Drosophila melanogaster: one gene and its partners. The protein of the gene in region 1 interacts with the protein of each later gene in a pairwise test. Each region holds a gene or a part of one and is shown on either strand. Other genes may lie near its edges. The genes, in order: Usp10, CG46385 and CG14104.

The links.
Region 2: the proteins of Usp10 (region 1) and CG46385 interact in a two-hybrid assay, tested with the Drosophila melanogaster proteins (one large-scale study listed by BioGRID).
Region 3: the proteins of Usp10 (region 1) and CG14104 interact in a two-hybrid assay, tested with the Drosophila melanogaster proteins (one large-scale study listed by BioGRID).

What each region holds. Positions count from the first base shown.
Region 1 is NT_037436.4:871,391-875,150, reverse strand, and holds the start of Usp10 (ubiquitin specific protease 10), read right to left. Parts: upstream 2,241-3,760; 5' UTR 2,172-2,240; intron 1,844-2,171; 5' UTR 1,732-1,843; coding exon 1,276-1,731; intron 1,161-1,275; coding exon 270-1,160; intron 202-269; coding exon 1-201.
Region 2 is NT_033778.4:7,780,574-7,784,333, reverse strand, and holds the start of CG46385 (uncharacterized protein), read left to right. Parts: upstream 1-1,696; 5' UTR 1,697-2,607; intron 2,608-3,760.
Region 3 is NT_037436.4:19,806,191-19,808,968, reverse strand, and holds CG14104 (uncharacterized protein), read left to right. Parts: upstream 1-1,769; 5' UTR 1,770-1,822; coding exon 1,823-2,029; 3' UTR 2,030-2,158; downstream 2,159-2,778. Other genes in the region: Kap-alpha1 (karyopherin alpha1), read right to left, coding at 1-225, 285-769, 832-1,032; Ccdc58 (Coiled-coil domain-containing 58), read right to left, coding at 2,179-2,283, 2,337-2,459, 2,517-2,663, 2,732-2,767.

The DNA of each region.
Region 1 (3,760 bases):
TGGTGGCTGCGGAGGTTGCGCCTGAACCAACTGGGCTGGCTGTTCGATTAACAGGGGCGACGTTTGCTGCAAAATGTGATGCGGCGGTGGCGGCAGCAGAGCTGGCTGGACTGCATCCGGAGGGAGGGGCATGGCAGCAGTCCAGGCCACCGGAATAGGGCCTGGTGGCGGTGCTCCGCACTCGGCTAGCTCGTCCTCGTACTATTAACGATAAGAAATGTTTAGTATTGCCATTGTCTTTAGCTTCACGGTATGCCAGGCCCACTTACCTGCGGTAGCGGACCCGCTCCTGGATGGATTGGCTGCAGGGCGGCCATCTGACCATCGTCGAATATCTGCATCACGCCCATTTGGTGCTGCATTTCGTGCATCTGTGGATCGTAGATGGGATAGTTTGGACTGATCATGCTCGACGTCTCCGAGGAGGGCAGGGATGAGCTATTGTGGTTGAGCTCATCGGCTACACTGACAGCACCTCCATTGGGATGCACAGCCACCTGTTGCTGTTGTTGCTGCTGCTGTAGCGCTTCGAAGTCCTCTGCGTACATGGGGCCCTGGTGCCAGATCTGGGTCATTCCGCCGTCCGGCTGAGCTCCACGTTCATCCACTCCCGGCTGGCCAGCGTCTTCGGGTACATACTGGTACTCAGCCGGATGCATCATGGGGTAGATGTACCCACCGTGGTTGAACCACGCAGGATTATACATCAGCGGTCCGGAGATGAAGAGCGGCGTTCCAGTTGCCTGTTGGGCAGCAGTGGCATTGGGGGGAGGCTGCACATTGGCATGTTGGGGTGTGAAGTAGGGAGAGGGATATGGCCCGTAGGCGTAGGTTGGTGGCGCCGCGTAGTACTGCTGTAAGTGCTGCATGTGCGCCTCCGGCGGCGCCAACTGCTGACCAATCTGATCCGGCTGAAGCTGCAGCCCGGGATTGGCTCCGTCCGGCGGTGGCAGTTGCTGCTGCGGCGGAAGGGTGATCAGTTGCTGCTGCTGGAGGTGACGTGGCCCATGGTAGTCATTGCGTCGCGGTCCACCGCCACGGGGACGACCTCGTTCGCGCATCCGTCCGCCACCCATTCTAGGACCATGGGGATTCGGAGATCCGCCCTGGGGCGCCAAATTAATGGGCACAGGCTGCAGGTGCGGCATCACCGTGTTGCCCTGTGTGGAATAACAAGTAAGAAGGTCAGTAATGTAGGTGCTAGCTAGTAACAATGCTTAGTAATTAGCGAAATTATCGAACAGATGTATATAGATCCTGTTCTGTTTCACCCACCTGCTCCTGGGGCATGTCGCCGTGTCCAATGTAGTGATGCTGACCTCCGGGTGGCATATAAGCCGGAACACCGTGCGGCCAGCCATGCAGGTTCACATTGGCAGTGACGTTGTTCACATAGACGTGATTGCTGGGCATCGGAGCGGGGATCATGGCCGGGTAGTGGGCTCCGGCGTGCGGGTGTCCTCCGTGGGCGGACATATAGACGGGTGGATTGTACACTGGCTGTCCGGTTGGAGTGAATGCCTGGACGGGCGTCATCAAGTTGTTGTTCCCGGATGGTGAGACCAGGGTGTTGTTGTGATGGTTGTTGTTGTTGTTGCCATTATTGCCGGGTCCGCTGCTCACGCCAGACGGCTGGGGCGTCGAGGGCGTTGAGATGGGCGTGGCTGCTCCTCCGCCTGCCGCGCCGGAGGATCCCGCCGTCGTGGAAGCCGACGACGACGTGGATGCCATGGCTTTGAGGCCAAAGGTTAGAAACTTGGCTCAAATTCCGGTTGAATGTACTTGCGGATTTAGACGAGTCTCAAGAGTCGCAGCAGGCGCCAAACATTGAAATTGGTTTTTGCTGATCGGAAAGAGAGCGCATAGCAATTGATTAATTAGTACATTAAGGAGATAATTATATAAGACTGGGCAATCAATATTAATTATGCACGCAGTCGAAAGAAGAATACACCATTTATTAGAGTCCCCTAATTAAATTTATTAATATAAAGTATGGGGGCATGAGGGTAATGATTCAAAACAATTTCTATTGACAAGACCAACTGTTGAATACTATGGCTGATTCTACAAATCTTGAGCCGCACGTTTAAATATATCACATCAATAAAGTAACTTCAATTCTAACACTAGCTTATGCAGCTGGAGCGCACAAATTCATTATATTTTACCCGACGCAGGTTAAATTCTAATTAAATGCGATTTTCAATTCACGCCACTCCGCGTGCCGCAGCCAGAAAAGCGATCTGGCAAGGCCGCACAGCTGTGATGAGACGGTGTAATGAGAAAATCAAATAAACAAAGCAAAAGAGACGCATAATTTAAATAAGGCTTACACGGGAATTATCTCAAATGTAGACGCATTATAAATGCATATTTATCAAACAAAACTAACTGCTGCCCATTGCATTTCTGGACATTTTCTGGACGATTTTTTGGTGCCACACGGCGCCCGCTAGAGATGAGTAATTGCGACGATTTGCCGGCTCACGTAAATATCGGTCACGAATGTAACAGGTTCAAAGGGCTCTTTTAATGGGTTTTTCTAGATTAGAAGTTGGTCATGGAAAGTGAAATGACTTCGGCATGGAAGCTGGTCGTTCATCTTGAAAACTACCTGCATTTGACAGACATTCATTGCTGTTCTTTGGGAGTTTTAAATTACTCATCTCTGCCGAACACAACACACATACACCAGCACATGCACGCACTCACACACACGCACACATGCACACACGGAGAGGCAGGGCAAATGGAAGAAATGGGAAAATAACGTTCGCTGGAAGCAAAAAGTCCACGATTCCCTACTAGTTGCCAGGTTTACTTCTTCCGAGTTTTATGTAAATGGAGGAGCCAGGTGTTTGGTGTTATTATTGTGCTAATTTCGTGGGCGCCGGGGCGGGTGTATCGAACGTACCTTTTGTTGAGTGGCCAATTGAAATCAATTTTGCAATTTGATCATATTTTATGCGTGCGGCAATCTCTCTCCTGCTCTCTCTTTCTCCGCGGTGCCACGATAATTCCGCAACTTTTTACACGCTGCTGCTCCAAATTCTGCTGCTTTTGCTGCCACAAATTAACATTGAGGCGGGCAGTTGCGCGGGGTCACAGGTCTCGGGGCACGGGCGAGAGGTCACCGGTTAACACGGCACTCGGCGATCCCTATATTGCTGAGGGCCACAAACGTTTTATTGTTCTCTATTTTTCGGCCGAAAAACCTTCCTGCTCCCAGGGTTGTCGCAATTCGATGACAGTGCGATAATCGTCGGCGCGTGCTATCGATGGCCAGGGTGGCCACCCGCCTGCAACCGATGGCAACGCTGTGGAAAATTGGCGGGTAATTTGAATGCTTGACTATGTTATTAAAACCTATTTCGGACGTATTCGACAATACAAAACACCAAGACTATTATTAGACACACATTGTTTGTTTTTATTTATGCAATATTAAACATGCAATGAACAATTATACAAAAATTCGCTGCACATCAACAGAGATTCGTGTTCGGCCTTCCATTTAAACCAACTCGGGCATTTTGAATTTTCGGATTGCTGTGGGATTTTCAACATCTATTATGGAACGAGAAACATTGTAATTGCATGGATTACAAATAAACACTCAGATATATAATCGTATAGGTACATATAATGCTGTAATGTGGGGATTAACACTGAGAGCGTACAACTAATTATATATGTGCATCGAACTTAATCCGTGTTCCGATTGCTTTTCATTGACTAGTTTTCCATTCGCCATTGA
Region 2 (3,760 bases), on another chromosome or scaffold:
TGCTGGCCACCGCCATACCCATGCGAGGCAGAATGCTCCACGATGTGCGAGGAAACTCCAGTGTGGTCCTATACGATCCCATTAACAATCAATGCCTGTACTCCGTGGGACGTCGACAGCTGAACGAAGTCCTTTTGAATGCCTGCGATAAGCTGCCCAATATACGCTGCCACTTCGAGCACAAGCTGACAAGTGCCAATCTGCGAGAGGGATCCATGGAGTTCCGCAATCCCGCCAAGGAAGCCGTAGCTGCCCATGCTGATCTTATAGTCGGCTGCGATGGTGCCTTCAGTAGTGTGCGCCAGCACTTGGTCCGTTTGCCGGGCTTCAACTACTCCCAGGAGTACATAGAAACGGGGTATCTGGAGCTCTGCATACCCTCGAAATCGGGAGACTTCCAGATGCCTGCCAACTATCTGCACATATGGCCGCGTAACACCTTCATGATGATTGCCCTGCCGAATCAGGATAAGTCTTTCACGGTCACGCTGTCCATGCCCTTTGAGATCTTCGCTGGCATTCAGAATCAAAACGATCTCCTGGAATTCTTTAAGCTGAACTTCCGGGACGCACTGCCACTGATTGGAGAGCAACAGCTCATAAAGGACTTCTTCAAGACCAGGCCACAGTTTCTGGTGTCCATCAAGTGCCGGCCGTATCATTATGCGGATAAGGCACTGATCCTGGGCGATGCCGCCCATGCGATGGTTCCGTACTACGGCCAGGGTATGAATGCTGGAATGGAGGATGTCACGCTGCTCACCGACATTTTGGCCAAGCAGCTGCCACTGGACGAGACGTTGGCCCTGTTCACCGAATCCCGCTGGCAGGACGCCTTCGCCATTTGCGACCTGGCCATGTACAATTATGTGGAGGTGGGTTTTTGGAACTAGAATTTATATAGTTTCAAATTATATTTCATTCTTTTTTCTCTACCTTGCAGATGCGAGACCTGACCAAACGTTGGACATTCCGGCTGGACCTACTACTCAAAAGCTCTAAAAGCTTTTCTTCGCCGAAGGTAGAAAGACATGGATGGTTTCGAGTATTTAAAGAGGGGGAGCTTAGTATGGTCAGAGAGCGAGAGAGACAGCGAGCTGCTCATTTCCGACTTAATTGTTGTTGCTAATTCCGTTTCGCGAACTTTTCGATGGCACTCTCTAGAATTGTCGGCGCCTCCGCTTTGCCCACACTCACTACAGTGGAACGTCGACGAGAATAAGATTTATATGATATGCAGTTAATCACGTACATAATCCTCTTACAAAATGGCGTGTACATAAAACTTAAGGTATGAAAACGTATTTAAACTCTAGAAACTTCCAGATAGTGACAAACCATTATTTACTAATGTTAATTATACAATGAACGGTGCCGAATGTCTTGTTTATGGTTTTGTATTCAACTAGCGTAAAATGTATCGAACGTTAATAGAGATTAGACTTTAAGAACGTTGAAAATTAACCTATTAATGGAATCGAATAATAACTCTTATTTTTCTGAACCCAATAGCTGTGAAATAAAAATATACATATGTATGTGTTTTAGCCACTTTTTATTTAAAACAAATGGCCAGTGATTTCAATGAGTGCCCTTTCTAAGTGAAAGTACTTTTAGGCAGGCCTTACTGTACCCACTGTACCGCTGCCGCCGTCGCGCGTCTTCGCCTGGCCGGCGGACCAATGGAGCAGGCCAGCGCCATCAGTTGCTCGTCACATGTTCGACACTCAAGTAGACCAAACACAGGGAGCTGTACAGTGCCCACCGAGATCCGATCGAACGCAGAGCAGCCGTTAGACAGAATATTGACTTTAGCAACTCACCAGGAGTTCAGTTAAACTTGCACAAACTAAAAATTCCCATAATCCAACCGGAATATCGCTCTTTTTAGGCAGGTGCAAGTGCAACTTTGTTCAGCCCTTTTTGCTGTTAAATCGAAAAACCACATTCTCGAAGCTTTTGGGCAAGCTTCCGCAAAACGAAACGATCGAAACGCGTGGTCCGAAAGCAACGAAGCAAATACGGCAACAGGCGAGCGAAAAAGTGAAATTGAAATAATTCCAAATCAAAAATCAAATTCCAAATCGAAAATCGCAAATCACAAAGTTGGAAGTTGAGTGAGCGAACGCGTGTGTTTGTGTTTGTGCGTAAGTGTCCCTCAGTGTGTGCAGTGCAACGGTATCGTAAGACGAAAAGTAACGGTAACCGAGCAATTGGGGTGTAAGCTGTCAGAATCTGTGCGCAGAGAAAACCGAAAGTTTTGGCTTGTTACCTTGCCGTAGTAATCCAAAATCAAAACCGAATACCGGATTCACCGATCGCCATCCTGGCCCGCCCTTCGACTTTAGTTTAAGGCGCTCTGCCAGCGGTTCGCCGGAACGGTAAACTCCCCCCACACCCTGCTGCCCGTCGTCGTTAGCATACCGATACCGATAGACCACCGCCGATAGCGATACTTTGGAAATTCAGCAATCCGTGCCCCACTTTAGCTAGGATTCTGTTCGGTTTTAACCCTACGAAGAAGGAGCACCCGGCGGCGGAACCCGAAGCCGTTCTGCGTAATTTTGGATAATGCGCGACTAGGCACGAGCTGTCCGAATTGTTCAGGTAAATACATTCGTACATATATATGCATATAGGTGCACACACAATCACCGTTATTGATCTCGCTCAATTAGTGGGTCTACGTGACTGCAGCGCCGATTCTCAGGGTCCGGGGTATTCGCAGATCGCATCGTGCCGCATGGTGTTGTATTCTGTTCTGCCTATAATGAAAAGCAAACCAGAAATGCGGATAACAATCTAGGCACACACCACAGCATACACCTTTCCCTCCATCTTCCCCTTCCACCCCCCTGCTCATCACTTTTGGGTCTCGGTTAGTCTTGGCATCTGGCATTTCCGGTTTCGCTATTTTTTGTCGGTGTAGATATGTATGTATGTACAATATGTAGATGAAAACACCTTCAGATATTATTCAACCCGAAATCCTCTCAAAGTGGTTTGGTTTCCTATATTTTCATTGCAGTACATATTTTGAGTACATATGTACATACATACTTAATGCAAAAAAAATAACTTAAAACTAGAATTCGAAACCAAAATTTTGCATTTAAAGATGAAACATCAATTTGTATATTTGGTGCATTTTTGTTGTTCTTAAAATAAACAATTTAATCAATCTTTTTCTTACATTTAAATATAAAACGTTTGTACTCTCTTGAATAAATAAACTTCGTAGAACACTTGCTGTGGGCAAAAGTTCAATAACAATGCAATTTAACGCACGTGGGAACCCCAAATGTTGTTATTAGTATTTATTTGACACAAAAACTAATATGTTAGCTCGTTAGACAAGAATAATTATCGTCGTTCTTACGTTCATCCATCACTTTTGGGTTCAAGAACGGTTAGTGTTCGATAATTCTGGAAAAGCACTTAACTGATTTGAAAGAGATCAGTTTGAATTTCTCTCATTGCGATTGAGTCATAAAGTCTGGTAAATAACAATAAGAGTAGCCCGAGAACTGTTTTATTTCTATACCCTTACAGAGGGTATCGTAACTATTCTCATAAATTCATTGGATTGGTTCTGACCCATTTGTACATACAATTTACATACTTACATATATCCATATCCTATTGCTACTGATAAACTTCAGTAGATGCTAGCGAATTTTGAACTTAAGGCGATTTAAAGAGTATAAAATATTTAGACGGATTTCGCGCACTTTTAAAGAGTTTAATGAGCAATCTTAGC
Region 3 (2,778 bases), about 19 Mb from region 1:
ATTACAGCCTGGATTTTATCATTGGGACCATCTGACAGGTAGCCTATGGCCCAGCAAGTATCGCTTAGTACATCCGCATCAGTGTACTTCAGCAACCGTGCCAGTATTGGTAGACCATGGCTAATTTTGGCAAAGTCTGCGGGAGGGCTTTTGCCGCGGCACAAGTTTGAAAGTGTCCACACCGCATTCCGTATCATGGTAATGCGATCCGAGTTGCTCAATACACTGCAAGAAGTCACACCTACTTTGGCGCAATCTTATCAATATAATTATTTATAACTTACTGCAGGAGAGGCTCTAGAATGCCGGAGCCGAGCAAATGGTCTCGACACATGGGTGAGTCACCGGCTATGTTGCCTAGGGCCCACACGGCCTGTTCCTGAACATCATCATGGGGACTGGAGAGCAAATCAATGAAGATAGGCACTGCCCCGGCCTCGATAACCACCTTGGTCTGTTGCGAGGTGCCCGATGCGATGTTCGTTAGCGTCCAGGCGGCCTCGAACTGCAGCGTGGCATTTGCGCTATTTCGCAAAAAGGTGACAAACTGTGGCACTATCCCCTTCTGGATGACTTCCTCAATGGGAGGATTGGGATCGCGGGACAGCAGTTTGCGGAACTTTTGAGTCGCCTCAAGCTGTTCGTTTTCACGTCCACTGAAGAGCATTTGAATCATTTCCTCGTTGATTACGGATGGCTGTGCCCCGCTTCCAGCAGCTTCCTCGTTTTGACCGCCAGTGCTGCTGTCAGCCATGTGCATGTCGGCAGCCTGCATTGGAATGGAGAGATAGTTAAGACTATGCTATCAGGCCAAACTTGATCAAAATATACCTGCTGTTCGTTATCGGTGTTGCTCTCCACTCCGGCTGATGTTGAGGATGTAGCCGGCTCAAGAACCACATTGCGTCGCTTAAAGAGCTGCTGTTCGCGTTTGTTTTTTCGCAACTGGATGCCCACCTCCTCGCGACGACGACGCATCTCTGTGGAGTCCAAGGCGGCATTTTTATAACGCTGTTTGTGGCTGGCAGACATTTCGTCGTCTTGGCAATTCAAAAGCTTGAAATAGTTAAAAAAAATATTTCTTTGAGAACAGAATAATTTAAGTCGTAAAGACAGGTTTCAGATAAAAAGTGAGTGCGACTTGATTTTCGCCGCTACTGTGATCAAATGCTAAACGAAAGTGCAAATAATCTAGAAAATATAGGTAGAGGTCGTCGTGGAATGCGAACTAGTTGAATTGAACGTTTATAATCATCACTAGGTGTTCCCCAATGTTCTCATCCACTCCCACCAGGATTATTACGCCCTGTAACCACTGAACATTCGCTTAGCGCCTGCTCTAGGCTAATTTTACATTTCCGGAAACATAAAGATTACGTTGTCAGGCGAATAATTTACATATAATAGGTTCACATTTAATGAACTATTCAGTTTTCCTGGCAAAATGCACAATCACAACACTTTCACATTTCATTGTACGTGTATGTACATATGTGCACACACGGCTGCTTTGCGTTTGTGCGTATAGGTGCGGGCTTAGGTCAGCCAGCATGAGCCATTCGCTGGTCTCCGGTTACGCCCTTCTTTGAGCCACCACAACTCCTGGTTAGAAGAGGCGCCTTCAGATACGTAATTAGAACACAATTTACCTGTTCCGGAGAATCCTTTTCTCGTCTTAATCATGCAAGGGGACGGGAGATTTTACACGTTGTGAGGAACGGGGATGCCGGACTGTCAAAATGCAATGCACACAGCTGACGCGCTATCGATAGCGATATCAACCGATAGCAGTAATTCCAATCCAATTGCATTTAATTTAAACATGAAAGAAAATAAGAAAAAGTCGCGCAAAACGGCCAATAAGACAAATGAAACGTCAGAGGGTCAGAAAAAGAAGATCATTGAACTGCTGCACGAGTACAACGACCTAAAGGATGCCACCCAGCGCGTCCTGGAAGCCTTGGCCAACCTAAAATGCGTACCCGTCGGATCGGTTTACGCTACATACAACCTGCCCCGCGACGAATAAAGTTTGTGCTTTTTAGACTGTTATATTTATGTACTTGTTGTAAACAACTTGTAATACAACGGAGTGCATGTAAATGCCTTCTGGCTTGGCAGTTCCATGAGACTTCTGCTAATAAATCCACCTAAAACTAGTCATTGCATTTGTTCCACCTATTGGCCAGCATGAAAATAGGACCGGCATCGTTCATTGAAGGTCTTGTAGGAACGATCTTTAATGATGTCCTCGACATTGAGCTCGGCCTGGAGAACCCGCAGCTGGAAAGGATCATAGGCATCAGTTAAGAGTAAGACTTAGGTATTTCGGTTACCTTGCGCTGCTCCGCCCTAAACTGGTTATCCGTATCCACATCATCCGGCTGGGTCTCCCGCTTTTCCCTTAGCTTCTTCAGATTACTAGCCGAAATTGTTATGCAACTGCGTATGCTTTCTTGCTGCAAGGAGAAGCTATCTGTCAAGATCCCCGTGTGTTGTACTTAATCAGGATTTACCCTGGCCAAGTGTGACTCCTGGAGCTTCGCGTACAGATCGCGACAGGTGCTTTCACTGTTCACTTGACCCTTAAACGACTCCGTTGGCAGGGCATTTAGTGCATATATAATCTTGTCGTCCACATCTCGCATCTTCTTCAGTGCCTCCTGTTTGGAAACTTAAAGCCATTTAGTATGCCGGCTACTAACCCAAACAACAATATTCCAACCCCCACCTGGAAGCCGAGAAAGTCTAAGCACAATGCCGCCATTTAAACCAGGT